5 linked regions of the Kluyveromyces lactis genome follow. The protein of the gene in region 4 interacts with the protein of the main gene of each other region in a pairwise test. Links are inferred from orthologs where the notes say so. Each region holds a gene or a part of one and is shown on either strand. Other genes may lie near its edges.

Region 1 (3,002 bases), on a different chromosome or scaffold from region 4:
TTACGTCCAAACCGTCCGGATCTACCAATACGATGGATATAGTTCTCTAGATTATCTGGTATATCGTAGTTTATCACCAATGAGATCTGCTGGACATCGATACCACGAGCCCACACGTCTGTCGATATTAGCACCCTGGCTTTTCCACTCCTGAAATCATTCATCACTTGATCACGTTCTTCCTGTTTCATGTCACCGTGCATTGAGGACACAGAGAAATTCGTCTGTGTCAACTTCCTGGATAACCAATCCACTTTTTTCCTTGTATTACAGAATATCACACATTGTGTTATCGTTAACGAATCGTATAGATCACAGAGTGTATCAAACTTCCATTCTTCCTTTTCTACATCCACATAATATTGCTTTATCACGTCCAAGGATATCTCATCCCGCTTAACCAATATCTTCACCGGGTCACTCATGAACTTCTTGGTGATCTCTAATATATCTTTACTCATTGTAGCACTTACCACCACGACTTGAATCGTCGGTGGTAACTTGGTGAAAATGTCGTAGATTTGTTGTTTAAACCCCAAAGTTTCTCCGAGTAGTTCATCTGCTTCATCGAGAACTAAGATCTTACAGTTTCTAACGTTCAATACTTGTCTCTTGATCATATCTAGTACACGGCCCGGTGTACCACTGACCACTTGACAATTTTTCGATACTTTCTTGATATCTTGTTGTAAGGCCTTACCTCCTGTGCACGCATGTGCTGTAACGTTCAAATAGTCTCCTAGGTTAGATATCACAGATTCACTTTGACTCGCTAGTTCTCTTGTTGGTGATAAGACCAATGCTTGTAACTCTTTGCTCTTAGAATCAATTGCTTGTAATAATCCAATGGTAAATGTGGCCGTCTTACCGGTACCAGACTGTGCCTGGGCAATCACATCTTTTCCTGAGATAATCTGAGAAATGGCTCTAGACTGAATGGATGATGGATATTCAAAGCCGTAAAAATATATGCCTCGTAACAAATCCGGTTTCAAGTTCATCGACTCAAAAGTGGCAGATACCTTGAGCTTCTTTGAAGTCTTAAACTTCAACTTCGAGTCATCATCTCTGTTGAACGACATTGTTGATGTGATGATTCCCTTTCTTAACAACAGTAACTCCCGGTTACACTTCACTTGGACCTACCGTTGCAGCCTCTATTTCAATGCATCTCATCGCATCTCATCTTATCGTTGTGCTTGCCAAATTTTCCATTTTTTAAAGGTTTTAAGCTGAGAACCGAAAGTTCAACAACACTTTAAGGTGTCAAATTACAAGTGTATGTAAATAACTGCAGAACAACTGGTCGAGTGGCTCGATCTAGTGATTATTTAGATCAGATTAGTGGTAGTGCGTGCTTTCTTCCCTTGTTTGCTTTTGAACTGCACCATGTTTCGTGATAGAACTAATTTGTTTTTATCCTATAGGAGAACTTTCCCCCATCAGAGGCTTTCGAGTACCAAGCATCTACGATCGAATAAAGATTTGGAGAACCAGCCATTCATTGGTAGTGACGATGGTAACAATGATGAAGATATGGTTGCTATGGATGATTTCTCCCGTCAATTACCGCCAAAATTTTTCGATTTAACGTTCCAAGTGGATGAGTCGTTATCTGCAGTAGATCAATTGTTGCTACAGTTGACGAAACTATATCAAAAGAACTCTTTACCAGGATTCCAGGACAATAAGCAGGATGAGGAGGAGATTGAGCAGATAAGTTTCCAGGTAATTAAGAGATTCCAAGAATGTTTTGGTGTTATCAAGACTCTTACGAGAATTAAGGATTCTCAATATTCGAATGGTAAGCAGCTAAGCAAGGACGAGTTAAGGATATTGGATAACCTAGAAAAGAACTACGCTTTGAAAGTGCAAGACAAATCGCAGAAGTTCAGAATATTACAGAATAATCATTTGAAGTTTTTGAATAAAGATGATTTCAAACCACTACCCACTACGAAATCAAGTAACGATACATTGATGTTGTTGGAGGAAGAAGTTGAAGGAGATGAAGTCAATAACATCGACTCATATTCAAAGCAGACTTTACAAAAACAGAATCAGAAGTTACAGGATAACAATCAGCAATTTTTGCAACAAAGAGATGAGGAAATTACACAGTTAGCGAAAGGTGTACTCGAAGTTAGTACTATTTTCAGGGAAATGCAGTCTTTGATCATAGATCAAGGTACAGTGGTCGATAGGATCGATTATAACTTAGAAAACACGGTTATTGAATTAAAGCAGGCCCAAAAGGAGTTAGACAAGGCAACGCACTACCAAAAACGGAGTCAAAAATGTAAAATTATTCTATTTCTATCTTTGGTCGTTCTAGCGTTATTCCTCCTTGTCATGCTGAAACCTCATCACCATACTATACGAGAATCAGCTCCTTCAAAATCTCACAAACCTCCTGGATCACAAGTGGAGGTCAATTCTCCTAATGGAGACCCGTTGCTGGATCCAGAAAGTAATGTAGAATAAAAATGGTCAAATATTAATGAACTTGCTTATGATGGAGAAACTGCATCGAACTTCGAAAACAAATTTTGATATCGTGATAGAAGTAAACGACCACTGTCGAATTGGTAACAGTAGAAAGGTTCAAAAAAGTTAACTAGAGAGGAGGTCTATATATTATCTGTTACAGTAAATAGAATAAATTTGTTTAAAAAGTGAGTGGTTTCAGTATGAATATTACAATCAGAACTTAAAATGCTCCATAGGGACTGTCTCTTGACATGGATGCAGAGGTAGGTTATTTTTTCTTGGGAGCCTTTTCCTATAAGCAGGTTTATAGTGCATTGAAGATGCTGGTGCGGAGTTTAGCCCTGCACTCCTTTGGCTATTTCCGTATGATGCTGGACCAGTTCCGATGGAGAATTCAGGGTTTGATTGTAATAAGAAATCTGATGCAGACGGACCAGCCGAATACGGAGGTTGTGGTTGTTGTGGTTGTTGTTGCTGTACTGGTAGTGGCGGAGGGTGGTAGTATCCTTGTT
Region 2 (2,759 bases), about 1.8 Mb from region 4:
GACTACTTACGATAGTATTCGGAAAAACGCTAAATATGTACGGATAGCAATGCAACCCAGCTTCATGACCATGAATGAATTAATAGTATTTGCCTTACTACTGACCCCGTTGTTAGCTGCAAGACAACAATCTGTTCCAGGGCTACTGTTCTCGTACAATCTGTAAGTTGATTTTAAAGAGTTATTAGCTTCCAAGCTTCCATGCGGTTTGTATAAACGCTAAAGGAACCGTGCATTGAAGACATATGATACTAACAGTTATTCGGAAATTTCAGAGCGCCGGGGATAGTAAAATACCAAGATAAGTATGACAATGCACAACTACCACAAGATGATTTTTTGAAAGTTGCCAAGGATTTGATCTCACAGTGTCATTCGGAGACATATGTATTTGTAAACCAACCAGGTTTAAGTCGAAGTGATTTCAAGCAGCATAAGCAATCTATGCACAAATTATACAACTATGTGCTAACTAGTTCCACGACAGTGAAATTCGAAAAGATTGATATAGTCCAAAACGATGATATTTACGAAGAATTGATCGCCTATACAATGGATAAATGTAATATTGATGATAAAATAGATATAGGTGGCAATGTCACAGACAGGTATCAACCATTTGTGGAGGCCCGAACTAGAGTTCTAAGGGTAGACTTCCCACCTTTACCGCAGCAAGGACAATACGTAGAGGGCATCGGGACCAGAAAAGATGTGTTGCAAGCCAATGATGAATACTTGAGATATGTTATGGGAACGTTACCAACCCCGAAACATACAGTTTTTTATATGTCTTTGGAAAAGAGTGAAGTGCCAGATACCGAGACATCTTTATCGTATGATATCTGGCCTGAAATATTTACGAATCCACAACGAAAGGTTGAGATCGACCGTAATGATAGAGTTGCTAAGGAAATGCCAAAACTTGTCCCTTACAGACCAAGAATTGATACTGAAGATGACAAGTACTTAACAGTACTGGATCAGGAATTCATAGATAATCACTACGGCATCATAGTGCTTATTATTGGCGTGACAATTGCATTTATTCTACTACAATTAGGAGCCGTTAAGGTCAAGAAACCGTCAAAGCCACAAATAACTAAGGACGTAACAAAGGAAAAAAAGACCCAATAATTCTTTATTCCTAGATTAGTGTTAAATATATTCAAGTAATCTGGTGAAATACTACTGAAGGTCTTAACGCGCACCTTCATTAAGCATCCTTCTCATCTTTCCTCATATAAATGTTTTTTGGTATATTTTTTTAAGGCTTGCATCAATTACAAAATTAGAACAATGAAGATAAAAGGTTAGTCTTCTACAAGCTTAGTCCAGAAATGAAGGAATCTGATACGCATTTTGCTGCTACCGCTTAGGTGAATTCAAGTGAACCTGCATTTGAACAGTATAGAAATATGTCAGATTCACCCAATGAAATTCTTCAATATAGGGATAGTCCTGAGTTCGAAGATTGCTGCGATGCTATATCTCAAGATTTATTTGAATTGAACGGGAGCCTTTCAACTATGAACCACTTTGTAACGGCTTTGGAAACGAATGTATCCCACGGTAAATCTAACACTAAAGTTATCGACAATATCAATAAGAAGACGGTTGAACTAATAGACAAAAGTACAAAATTAGTATCATCGATAAACGAGAATATTCATAAAGTTAATGAGTTAGAGGAGTCGGCTTTGGATAAGCCTCATTTGATCACAAGGGAGAAGTTGACTAGGGATGCGAAATTCTCTGTACAGGAATTCAAGAAATATCAACAACATTTTCTTGAAGTTACAAAGCGGATAAATGACATGGCCAAAGTGGCTTTGGAAGATGAAGAACAAAATAATTCCTTGATGGATACTGTTTTAAGAGAGGAAGAAGATGAACACGCAAAAAGAACACAGGTGGTTATAGAGCGAGAACCAATAAATAATGAGGAATTTGCATACCAGCAACATCTGATCAGGGAACGAGACCAAGAGATATCAAACATAGAACAAGGTATAACGGAATTAAATGGCATATTCAAGGACTTAGGTGGTTTAGTGCAACAGCAAGGGCAGCTAGTAGATAGCATTGAAGCTAATTTGTACAATGTAGAAGATAATACCAGAAATGCAGCAAATGAGTTATCTCGCGCTATGAGATCCGGACGCAGTTCAAGTAAGCTAAAACTACATTTCCTTTTCATACTATTGTTTTTCCTTCTTCTCACAATACTGGCTGTTTTCAGTTGAATGAATGGTATTCATGAGGCGTCATGGATGCCTCCATTTTATGTAATTTTTATGCAGGTTATACTAGGTTACAAATCAGATATTGATAAAGTCCGGCAAAGAAGCTAATTCTCATCGAATTTCCATACGTTAACATGACCGTCGTCACCAGCAGTTATCAATAAGATGACATCTTTAGAGCCATACTCTACCCATTTCACCATATTTGTTTCATAAACTCCGTGTGTTAATTCGTGAATGCACTCAACTATCCAGCCATCTTCCGATTCCTTGTATATAACTAGACGTCCGTCAGAACCGGTACTAGCAATATACCCCTTAGGACTCCAGTTAACACTGTAGACTGCCCTTGTATGAGCCTTCGGTAGAATTGATTCTTGGATCCATTCTTGCTCGTATTCTCCGTTATCATCTTCGAGACACCATATTCTGACGGTCCCATCATCGCTACCACTGCATAGCCTGACGTTGGAATTAGATTTCTCGAAATCTGAAGACCACACAGTCCCTTCATGC
Region 3 (2,573 bases), on a different chromosome or scaffold from region 4:
ATTTATTCCTTCAAGACCAGGTTTAAAAGAATGGAACGTGAAATACCCATGCTCCGTTTCCCATGCCAAGGATTTTGACTGTCCAGAAGATTTCCATGGTGTAGAAGGGGAGATTTTGATTGTTGGTAACAGTGCTTCTGGTGCAGACTTAGCATTTGAATTGGCTAACGAACTACAGAAGCCTATTTATAAGTCGAAGAGATCCGAATCCAAATTACCGGCCCCATTCGATCCTTTCATTAAAGATGTGCCTGATATTAGAGAGTTTAATCCGTCAACAAAATCGATTACCTTCGTTGACGGCACCGAATTAAAGAATGTGGAAAAAGTGATTTTCTGTACTGGTTACTTAAAGTCCCTACCATTTTTACCACAGAATGAATCTGGTGTCGGAAATTCCATTCTCAACAACTTAATTGGTGATGGTAGACGAGTACAAAACCTGTACAACCATATTCTTCCAATATCATTGCCAACATTCGGTATTATTGGCCTACCAAGGTTTGTTCTTCCTACAAGACTATCCGAGACCCAAGGTGCTTGGTTGAGCAGAGTATGGTCAGGAAGAATCCAACTTCCATCGGAGGAACTTCAACAGAAGTACCATGATTGGTTCATCGAGAAAAGTGGCGATGGAAGTAAGTATCATGATTTGGCATTCCCATGGGACGTCCAATACTCTCAACGATTAAATCGTGAGATTAGACATGCTGGTAATGGTGGTTATTTTGGTGTTGAATGGAAAGGAGATCAGATTAGAGCTAGGTCAGCCATCAACGCTATAAAAGAAGGATATGTCGCTTATTACAAAGCTACCGGTACAAAGGCCAAAACTCTGGATGAACTTTTGGAAAGTGGGTATCTCAAATGGCCAGAAGATTCTAAGTCCTGCGTACAAATTCCAACCTTTGTACCATAAGTTATCGAGGGTAAGTATAGTTCAATTATACTAATATCACAAAGGAACTTACGCATACATATTTGTCATTGGAATATGTCATTATCGACATTATCTTTGATAGATTTATAGACATGTCAAATAGATATAAATATGAATAATTCTGTACTTCAAAAGTGAATTAGGTATCAGCAGCTTCAATCAAAAATGAGAAGACTATTAAGTTATCACAACTATACCGTAGGCTTCAGCTGACATTTTTTCTTCTTTCTGCCGGAGGTAGAGATTTTGTCTCGGTTCTGATTCTGTTATGATATCCTTTGGAGAATGTTGAAAATATGAAAACTGACAAATTTCCATGTTTACCAGCTACATCTGGTAGAAGGGTTGCAAGGAAACTGTGAAAGGACTCTCAGGATTAATTGCCTGTTAGTAGTGGTGAATTATTACAACAATGAAGCGGTATAGTGTGTCATATGTTGAAGTTTGGGATGGAGATCGAGTTCTTTCTAGCTGGTACGACTCCAAGGACGAAAACAATAGTAAATATGGAAGCACTGATAAAGGGAGAGCCGATCAAAAAGCAGTGTTTCACAGGTTAATCGGCGATATGGTAATACGAACAGTGGTGAATCTTCCGGGAAACAAAGTTACAAAGACGTCTATCGACCTTATAGAGGGGTATGATTGCTATTATACAACTGCAGAGAACAATAAAGTGCTCATTTGTTTTGTTAAAGAAGAAGTCCCCAAATTCCTACCGTTGAGGTTATTATCAGAACTAAAATGTTTGAATAATGACAACGATGAATATTTGAAGAGTAATATCGATAATCAATTGGACAAATTCCATGAAGAATTATTATCTTATCGCACGGAAGGACAGCAGACAGCTGCATCCACTGAGGAAGAGCTACAAAACATTATTGCAATAATGAATGATAATATCGATAAGTTTTTACAGAGACAGGAAAGGATATCCCTGCTTGTGGATAATACTAATCAATTGAACGAAAATAGTTTTAAATTTCAAAGGAAATCCTCTAAGATTATGAGAAAAATGTGGTGGAATAACGTTAAGTTTTATTCCATTGTCATTATAGTTGTACTGGCGATTATTGTGATTGTGTCGTTATTATTACTACATTAGTTCTATTTTTTTTAAGTATAGGTAACCCATGAGCACACGAAAACGGTATAATTGTTTATAGTACTTATACTTCTTGCCACCTCTTCTCCACAAATCGATTATACGATCATTCCGTCTTCTGTTTTTTTGTGCTTAAATCCAGGTCGTTCTGGCGCGTGCTAGGTACTTGTTCTTGGTTGACTGGAGGCCCATCTAATTTATCATTTTCAGCGTTACCTTGTTGAACCTCAGTATCAGCTCTGGATTTAGGCTCGGCGTCAGCATCTGCGCCTTCTCTGCCATCGTCATCTTCATCATCTTCATCATCTTCCATTGCTATGTCTCCGTCCGCACCAGGCACAGCATTATTGACTTTATTTTGCTTCTTCCAAAGTATGGCTTCCTGGTACTCCTGCATCTTTCCCGTGAGTATGCTCTCCAAAGCACCTAGCCCCAACGTATCTAAAGCAGCCATGATATCCTGATCATTACAACTCTTTCTATTAGAATCCTTTGCGTTCATTCTAGCAAACATTAATAAGTGAT
Region 4 (2,828 bases):
CGGACAGCAATTGTACAGTTTTATCATTGAGTTGAGATTTCATGATGTTTATCTGTTCTTCAAGCTCTTCTATGGAGCTTTCTTGATCTATGTTGACAAACTTCAATTGCTTTACTTGATCTTTTAGCTTTGAAACTTCTTCCTTGAGGTTTATTACTTCATCTTGGCTTTTCTGTTCTTGTATCGTCGAAAGGAAATCTTTCTCTTTATCATCATTCCCGCCAAACAATTCTTCAACTTCATCTGTACTTTTTGCCTCTATTGGTTCTTCCTCTTTTTGTTGAACTGCAAAAGCTTCTTTAGACACTTCCTCGGTTGGGTTGGGTATATCAGTTGCTTCCTTCTCGAGGACTTCCTCCTCGGAGTCTTTCTTGTTCTCCGCAGACTCTTTTTCAGACTTCTCCACAGACTCCTTTTCAAACTTCTCTTCGTTGTTGTCATTGCCCTTTGCATCAGCATTTATCTCAGCCTTTTCTTCAGCTTTTGTCTCTTCCACGATTGGTTGTTCATCTGAATGAACCGGACTCTCTGATACATTAGTATCAGTCGGTTCCAATTCAGTTTCAGTTTCAGTTTTGACTTCAGCTGCTTCAAGATCTTCCTTGTCCTTCTTCTTCTTATTCTTCTTGTTTTTATTCTTCTTCTTTAACTCTTCAACCCTTATCTTGGCTTCTTCGAGCTTTCTGGCTCTTTCTTCCTCGGGGGATAGTTCAGACATAATCAACTGTTCGAATGTGTGTACTCACTTGCATTGAAGACGCCAATTGGTTTTAATATTTAGCTCGCAATTGTTTCAGATTTGGCATTCACCATGTAAATTCTTATTTCATATGGGGCAACTTTTTTTTTTGATCTAAACGTGTCGTTATGGTTCACACATATTTAATAAGAAAGGAATCACCATCATTGAGGCAAACATCGATCAAATAATATCGTTTAATTTCACAATGTTTCAAAGCCATTTAGGTTCGAAAGAGAACAAGATTCAAGACTTTTTGAGAAGCAAACTCAAAGTATTTGTACCATGTTCTTTATTATTCGGTATGCGATTGGTAAATATCAAATTATTATCACCACCGTATATAGTGACGTGTTCTTTAAAAGAACGTAGAAGAAGTCTTCAGCAAGATATTTAGCATTTGTTGTCACTTTTAGTGGCGACATGCGTAGATAAACAGAAGTTTTACAACTAAGACGCCCTCTTATTTCAACTGTAGGAATAACAATCAGTAAGTGTGTAAACCTGAGACCAAGTAAAGCGGAAAAGTACAATGGATTTAACAGTTGAACCAGATCTAAACTCTTTGATAACTTCCTCAACACACAGATGGATATTTGTCGGTGGTAAGGGTGGTGTCGGTAAGACGACGTCATCTTGTTCGATTGCCATTCAAATGGCTTTGGCACAACCAGAGAAACAATATCTATTGATTTCTACAGATCCTGCACACAATTTAAGCGACGCCTTCGGTGAGAAGTTTGGTAAAGATGCAAGAAAAGTCACTGGGATGAACAACTTGTCATGTATGGAGATTGACCCTTCTGCCGCTTTGAAGGATATGAATGATATGGCTGTTGCCAATAATGCAACTGGATCGGGAGAGTTCAGTGATCTTTTGCAAGGTGGTGCACTATCTGAATTGACAGGATCGATTCCAGGTATTGATGAGGCACTTTCTTTCATGGAAGTGATGAAACACATCAAAAACCAAGAACAGGGTGAAGGTGACAGGTATGATACCGTTATTTTTGATACCGCACCAACAGGTCACACTCTAAGGTTTTTACAGTTACCAAGCACTCTATCTAAACTCTTGGAGAAATTCGGAGAAATCACTGCAAGATTGGGACCAATGTTGAATTCTTTGGCTGGTGCCAATAACGTCGATCTTGTTGGTAAAATGAGTGAATTGAAGTCTAATGTGGAAAAAATCAAGGAACAATTCACCAATCCTGATATGACAACTTTTGTCTGTGTTTGTATCAGTGAGTTCTTGTCTTTGTACGAAACTGAAAGATTGGTACAGGAATTGATCTCATACGATATGGACGTGAACTCCATCATTGTAAACCAGTTATTATTTGCTGAGTATGACGAAGGAGACAGCTGTAAAAGGTGCCAATCCAGATGGAAGATGCAAAAGAAGTATTTGGACCAAATTGATGAATTGTACGAAGATTTCCATATCGTTAAGATGCCATTGTGTGCAGGTGAAATTAGAGGTTTAAACAACTTGAAAAAATTCTCCCAATTCTTGAGAAAACCATACGATCCAGTTGCAGACAGCAAAGTGATTTATGAATTGGAACAACAAGACTGAAAGGAAGATAAATATGAATCATTGATACCTAGCATTACACGGCCAATCTATAATTTTTTATTATTTGTACACTAAATAATTGCAGAGCAGATTCTAAATTGAATCATTGCATCGAATTAGCCTCTATAATGTAGCATTAAACATCTACTTTAGTTGCAACATGAAAACATTATTACTTCAGGCTTCGTGATAGTAAACGAAAAGATCCGAAAGCTAAAAAAATTTTGGTAAATTGAAATGCTCCAGGGGAGGTTCGAACTCTCGACCTTCAGATTATGAGACTGACGCTCTTCCGACTGAGCTACTGAAGCAAATTTCTTGGAAAACTGAATTTTTAAAGAGTTTCATGCACTTGGGATTTGATGTACCATTGAGTCGCAGGGAATTAACTTCAAATCACTTATAAAACTCGCAACTCATTTATAACTTGAGGCATATAGAGTATGTCATATCTATTTAAGTCTCGTATTCATGATATCGGCCTCTCTTTGTGCTTTTAGTAACCAT
Region 5 (4,073 bases), about 1.9 Mb from region 4:
TCTTAATTTGAACAGACAAAAAAAAACTATGTACTGACCACTAACTAGAACCATCAGATGTTGATGTCATTGTTAAGAAGGATGCAAATGTATCAAAAAGTTGTATTAATTGTAATATATATGTTTAATATACAGAGGTCGTAAAAAAAAAATCTACCTGTCGATCACTTGAATCAATGAACGTGCAGTAAATCTTTTCTTTGCTATGCAAACCCCCCACAAAGCGGTTAACTCCTTAAACGATTGATATAAAGAATAAGAAAAGGAAATCACGAAATGTGCAAATCCTTCTTAAATCAACAAAGTTTCAATCTTGTCCTTAACGGCATAGATTTGGCTTTTGATAGCAGAAGCATCGTTAGTGGTAATAGAAGCAGCAATAACTGGTCTGGAAACACCACAAGCTCTACCCAAAGCAGTTCTGGATGGAACAAAGACGTATGGAACGTTCTTATCTTCACACAACAATGGCAAGTGCAACAAGATTTCAATAGGTTCACAGTCAGCAGCCATGATAATGAATTCGGAAATACCACGGTTCAAAGTCTTGGTAGCTTCGTTAGCACCCTTCTTCAATTGTCTCATGTTGGAAGCTTGTTGAACAACATCCAAGATTTGTTGGGACAAGGTGGCATCAGCCAATGGGAAAGCCTTTGGGTTTGGAGCAGACATTATTTCTTTATAATATGAAGTGAAGTATCCGATTGGGTCAGTTCAAGTTCCTTGCAAGAATGAAAAGCTCGCTTGAATCTGGTGTTTTAAGACTAGAAATAAGATCGGATCAAGTCCAAGTCTAAAAAAAGTTTTATCATAAAGTGAGATGAGATGGAACGAGATGAGATGAGGTTAGTCTCTTGAAATCATTTTCTTTAGTTTTTCAATTTTTGAAAATTTTCGAATTCCTCGACTGATGAGCAAAAAGAAACAAATGGGATCACAAACTGGTGTAATGTACGGCTGTTTCACTATATTAATTCAGAAGAACGATATACATTCCTCCTATTGTGATCATTTGGCCATTCTCCGCCATTGCTATAGTACTCTATTATGGTCTAAAACACGCAGTCTGTAGTTGTTGTTCCCCATCGTATGCTTCATACTTCCCCAGGAAGAGCTGCTTTCACTCTCAGTTCTTTACCTAATTTCAAAGGTGCATATTTCTTTGTATTGAAAAATGTACGTATTACAATATGTAAATTTATCAACTCATTTATGAATAAACTCATAGTATTGCCCTTGACTTAGGTATGACCCAATTGATGAGCAATAGCTAGCTATGACTGACCAAGAGGTAAATGAGGAGCAGGCTCTGCGAAATATACCAGAAGTCGGTAATTTCGATAAGTTCACTTCTGTGGATTGGATTGAGGAAGAGAAGCGTGAATTGTCCAAGGGAACATCGCATGACGAATTTGATATACCGCGTTCGAGTTGGTATGAGTACCGCAGGTTAATATGGAAAAGAGGTAGCAGTTTCATTACTTTGACTGCCATTGGGCTTTCCATTGGCGGTATTGCTGGTTTTTTACAAATATTCACTGAATTGTTAGTAAACTGGAAATCTGGACATTGTGCTAGAAATTGGTTGTTAAACAAGGCATTCTGCTGTCCTAAAGAAGAGATCAGTAAAAGGAGTTATGGTTCCATAATAAGTTCGGCTGGCAATGCCGCAGAAATATTCTTTAAAAGATCCCAAAGCGAATGTATCGAAAAAGGTATTTGGGTAGAAGCAACCAATCCAATCTTTTCATTTTTGCTATTCATGTTCTTATCGGTCACATTTGCAACTATTAGTTGTCTGATGGTCCTACACATTGCACCGTTTGCCACTGGATCTGGTATTTCAGAAATTAAATCCTGGGTATCAGGTTTCCAATATACCCCGGAGTTTTTGAATTTGAAGACCCTTATAGTAAAATCTGTCGCTTTACCGCTTGCCATTTCTTCTGATTTAAGTGTTGGTAAAGAGGGACCATCTGTTCACTATGCTACCTGTTGTGGTTATGTAATTACTAATTGGCTCTTGAGCAAGGAGATGGCCTTCCCAGAACAATCCGAATACTTGACAGCTTCGACGGCAGGTGGTGTTGCAGTAGCTTTTGGTGCACCTATTGGAGGTGTCTTATTTGCACTTGAAGAGATGTCAGCTTCTATTCCTTTCAAGTTATCTGCCTTGTGGAAGTCGTATTATATTGCTCTGGCAGGTATTTCTGCTCTACAATATATTGATCCATCTAGAAATGGTAAGATCGTTGTTTTTGAAGTCACCTATGATAGAGAATGGCATGTGGAAGAAATCCCAATATTCATCCTTCTTGGAATTTTTGGTGGTTTATATGGCAAATACATAAGCAGATGGAATGTGCATTACGTTTCTTTTAGAAAGAAATATCTCTCAAGATGGCCGTTACAGGAAGTTGTCATACTAACGTTTGTTACTGCCATTATCTCTTATTTCAACGAGTTCTTGAAACTTGACATGACAGAATCTATGGAAATTTTATTTCATGAGTGTCAAACTAATGAGAAAGGATCATTATGGTCGCATAGACTTTGTACAATTGACAACGAGGCCTCATTCATCTCGTTCATCAATTTATTGCTTTCGTTACTCTTTGCAACTGTAGTGCGAGCCCTGCTAATCGTTGCTTCGTACGGCTGTAGAGTACCTGCCGGAATTTTTGTTCCCTCAATGGCTGTTGGTGCAACTTTTGGAAGGGCTGTAAGTTTAATAGTAGAGCGTTATATTACTGGACCAAATGTCATTACACCGGGAACTTATGCTTTCCTTGGTGCAACTGCAGCATTAAGTGGTATAACAAATCTAACTCTAACAGTGGTGGTGATCATGTTTGAGGTCACGGGTGCATTTACGTATATTCTTCCTACCATGGTAGTTGTTGCTTTCACTAGAATTATCTGTTCCTCCTTTGGTGCCGAGGGAGGAATTGCTGACCAAATGATTATAGTTAATGGATTCCCATTGATGGAAGAGCAGAAAGGGGATCACGAATTCATGGATGACTTTTATGCAGATGACATCATGACGAAAGAACTAGTCTACGTGAATGAAAAAATGACTCGTCAAGATCTGCAAAATTTGATAGATGGACCAGCAGCCGAATTTAGCGGTCTTCCGATCACCAGCAGCTGTTCCAAAGGTGATTCGACATGCTCTGGCTTTATATTAACAAAGTACGCTCGCTATTTCTTAGATGCCACTACTGGATCTCCCGACGATATCATTGATTTCAGAAAATGTGGAGATGAATCGTTAACATCAAAAATCAATTATACCCCGATTACTGTTAGTCCGTCTACTCCGTTGAGTATACTTTTCATGATGTTCCAGAAATTGGGCTGCTCAACTATTATAGTAGAGAATGGCGGAACCATGGCCGGATTAGTCACTAAGAAAGATGTCTTGCATTTCATGAGAATTAAACATAAAGAATACTTTGGTCCTCTATATGCGTTTGATGATAGAATTGATAGGAAGGCAATACGACTAATTGAATGGTATATAGATAAATGTAGAAGAACATAACTTTATAAAATGATTAGGACTTTTCAATCATCATGCCATTTGCCACTTTTCAATCATCATGCCATTTGCCACTTTTCTTGTAGTCCGCATGTAATGTCTTGAAATATGATCTGCCGTTACTGTCCAAGCTAGCATTAAGCAAGTTCATTTCAGTCTGCGACAGAAGATCAAAAATAGCGTATACTGCGAGCATCAACTCTTTCTTTATCGTGGTGGGATATGGTTTTGAAACTGATAATTTGATGAATTGTAGAAGAACAACTGGCAGATTCTTTCTTAGCGATCTTTTAACATTAGAAACAGCCGAGGACAATGTCGTCTGCTTACTGCTTCTCACATTTGCAGGCTCACAATAGTTACATATGAATCTTGATACTGCTTTCGCTGATTCAACCGATAGAGCGTATTGCTTAGCATCTGATAGTAACTCCAGTAATTGGCAGATAACAATGTTGATCAAATGAGTACGATTGGATAACTTATAACGATGAAATAATAGCAATGAAGAGAGCATATGTGTGCAGGA

Evidence for each region.
Region 1: the proteins of GET3 (region 4) and TLG2 interact in a two-hybrid assay, tested with the Saccharomyces cerevisiae proteins (2 studies listed by BioGRID). The link is inferred for Kluyveromyces lactis from reciprocal best matches to the Saccharomyces cerevisiae genes GET3 and TLG2.
Region 2: the proteins of GET3 (region 4) and PEP12 interact in binary tests that used the Saccharomyces cerevisiae proteins (3 or more experiments, as listed by UniProt). The link is inferred for Kluyveromyces lactis from reciprocal best matches to the Saccharomyces cerevisiae genes GET3 and PEP12.
Region 3: the proteins of GET3 (region 4) and NYV1 interact in binary tests that used the Saccharomyces cerevisiae proteins (3 or more experiments, as listed by UniProt). The link is inferred for Kluyveromyces lactis from reciprocal best matches to the Saccharomyces cerevisiae genes GET3 and NYV1.
Region 5: the proteins of GET3 (region 4) and GEF1 interact in binary tests that used the Saccharomyces cerevisiae proteins (3 or more experiments, as listed by UniProt). The link is inferred for Kluyveromyces lactis from reciprocal best matches to the Saccharomyces cerevisiae genes GET3 and GEF1.

What each region holds. Positions count from the first base shown.
Region 1 is NC_006037.1:927,174-930,175, forward strand, and holds TLG2 (t-SNARE syntaxin TLG2), read left to right. Parts: upstream 1-1,389; coding exon 1,390-2,484; downstream 2,485-3,002. Other genes in the region: ATP-dependent RNA helicase FAL1, read right to left, coding at 1-1,082; KLLA0_A10703g (uncharacterized protein), read right to left, coding at 2,704-3,002. UniProt on the Saccharomyces cerevisiae protein: t-SNARE that functions in transport from the endosome to the late Golgi and on the endocytic pathway.
Region 2 is NC_006041.1:1,942,518-1,945,276, forward strand, and holds PEP12 (SNAP receptor PEP12), read left to right. Parts: upstream 1-1,415; coding exon 1,416-2,243; downstream 2,244-2,759. Other genes in the region: BIG1 (Big1p), read left to right, coding at 276-1,134; iron-sulfur cluster assembly protein CIA1, read right to left, coding at 2,348-2,759. UniProt on the Saccharomyces cerevisiae protein: Plays a role in the sorting and targeting of vacuolar proteases.
Region 3 is NC_006042.1:1,799,046-1,801,618, reverse strand, and holds NYV1 (Nyv1p), read left to right. Parts: upstream 1-1,352; coding exon 1,353-2,048; downstream 2,049-2,573. Other genes in the region: KLLA0_F19470g (uncharacterized protein), read left to right, coding at 1-919; DPB4 (DNA polymerase epsilon noncatalytic subunit), read right to left, coding at 2,155-2,573. UniProt on the Saccharomyces cerevisiae protein: Vacuolar v-SNARE required for docking. Only involved in homotypic vacuole fusion.
Region 4 is NC_006041.1:143,496-146,323, forward strand, and holds GET3 (guanine nucleotide exchange factor GET3), read left to right. Parts: upstream 1-1,271; coding exon 1,272-2,321; downstream 2,322-2,828. Other genes in the region: BUG1 (Bug1p), read right to left, coding at 1-718; ATG16 (Atg16p), read right to left, coding at 2,774-2,828. UniProt on the Saccharomyces cerevisiae protein: ATPase required for the post-translational delivery of tail-anchored (TA) proteins to the endoplasmic reticulum. Recognizes and selectively binds the transmembrane domain of TA proteins in the cytosol.
Region 5 is NC_006041.1:2,006,761-2,010,833, reverse strand, and holds GEF1 (Gef1p), read left to right. Parts: upstream 1-1,276; coding exon 1,277-3,547; downstream 3,548-4,073. Other genes in the region: RNA binding protein SNU13, read right to left, coding at 292-672; ribosome biogenesis protein URB2, read right to left, coding at 3,597-4,073. UniProt on the Saccharomyces cerevisiae protein: Anion/proton exchange transporter involved in iron and copper cation homeostasis. Involved in intracellular iron metabolism during growth on fermentable and non fermentable carbon sources.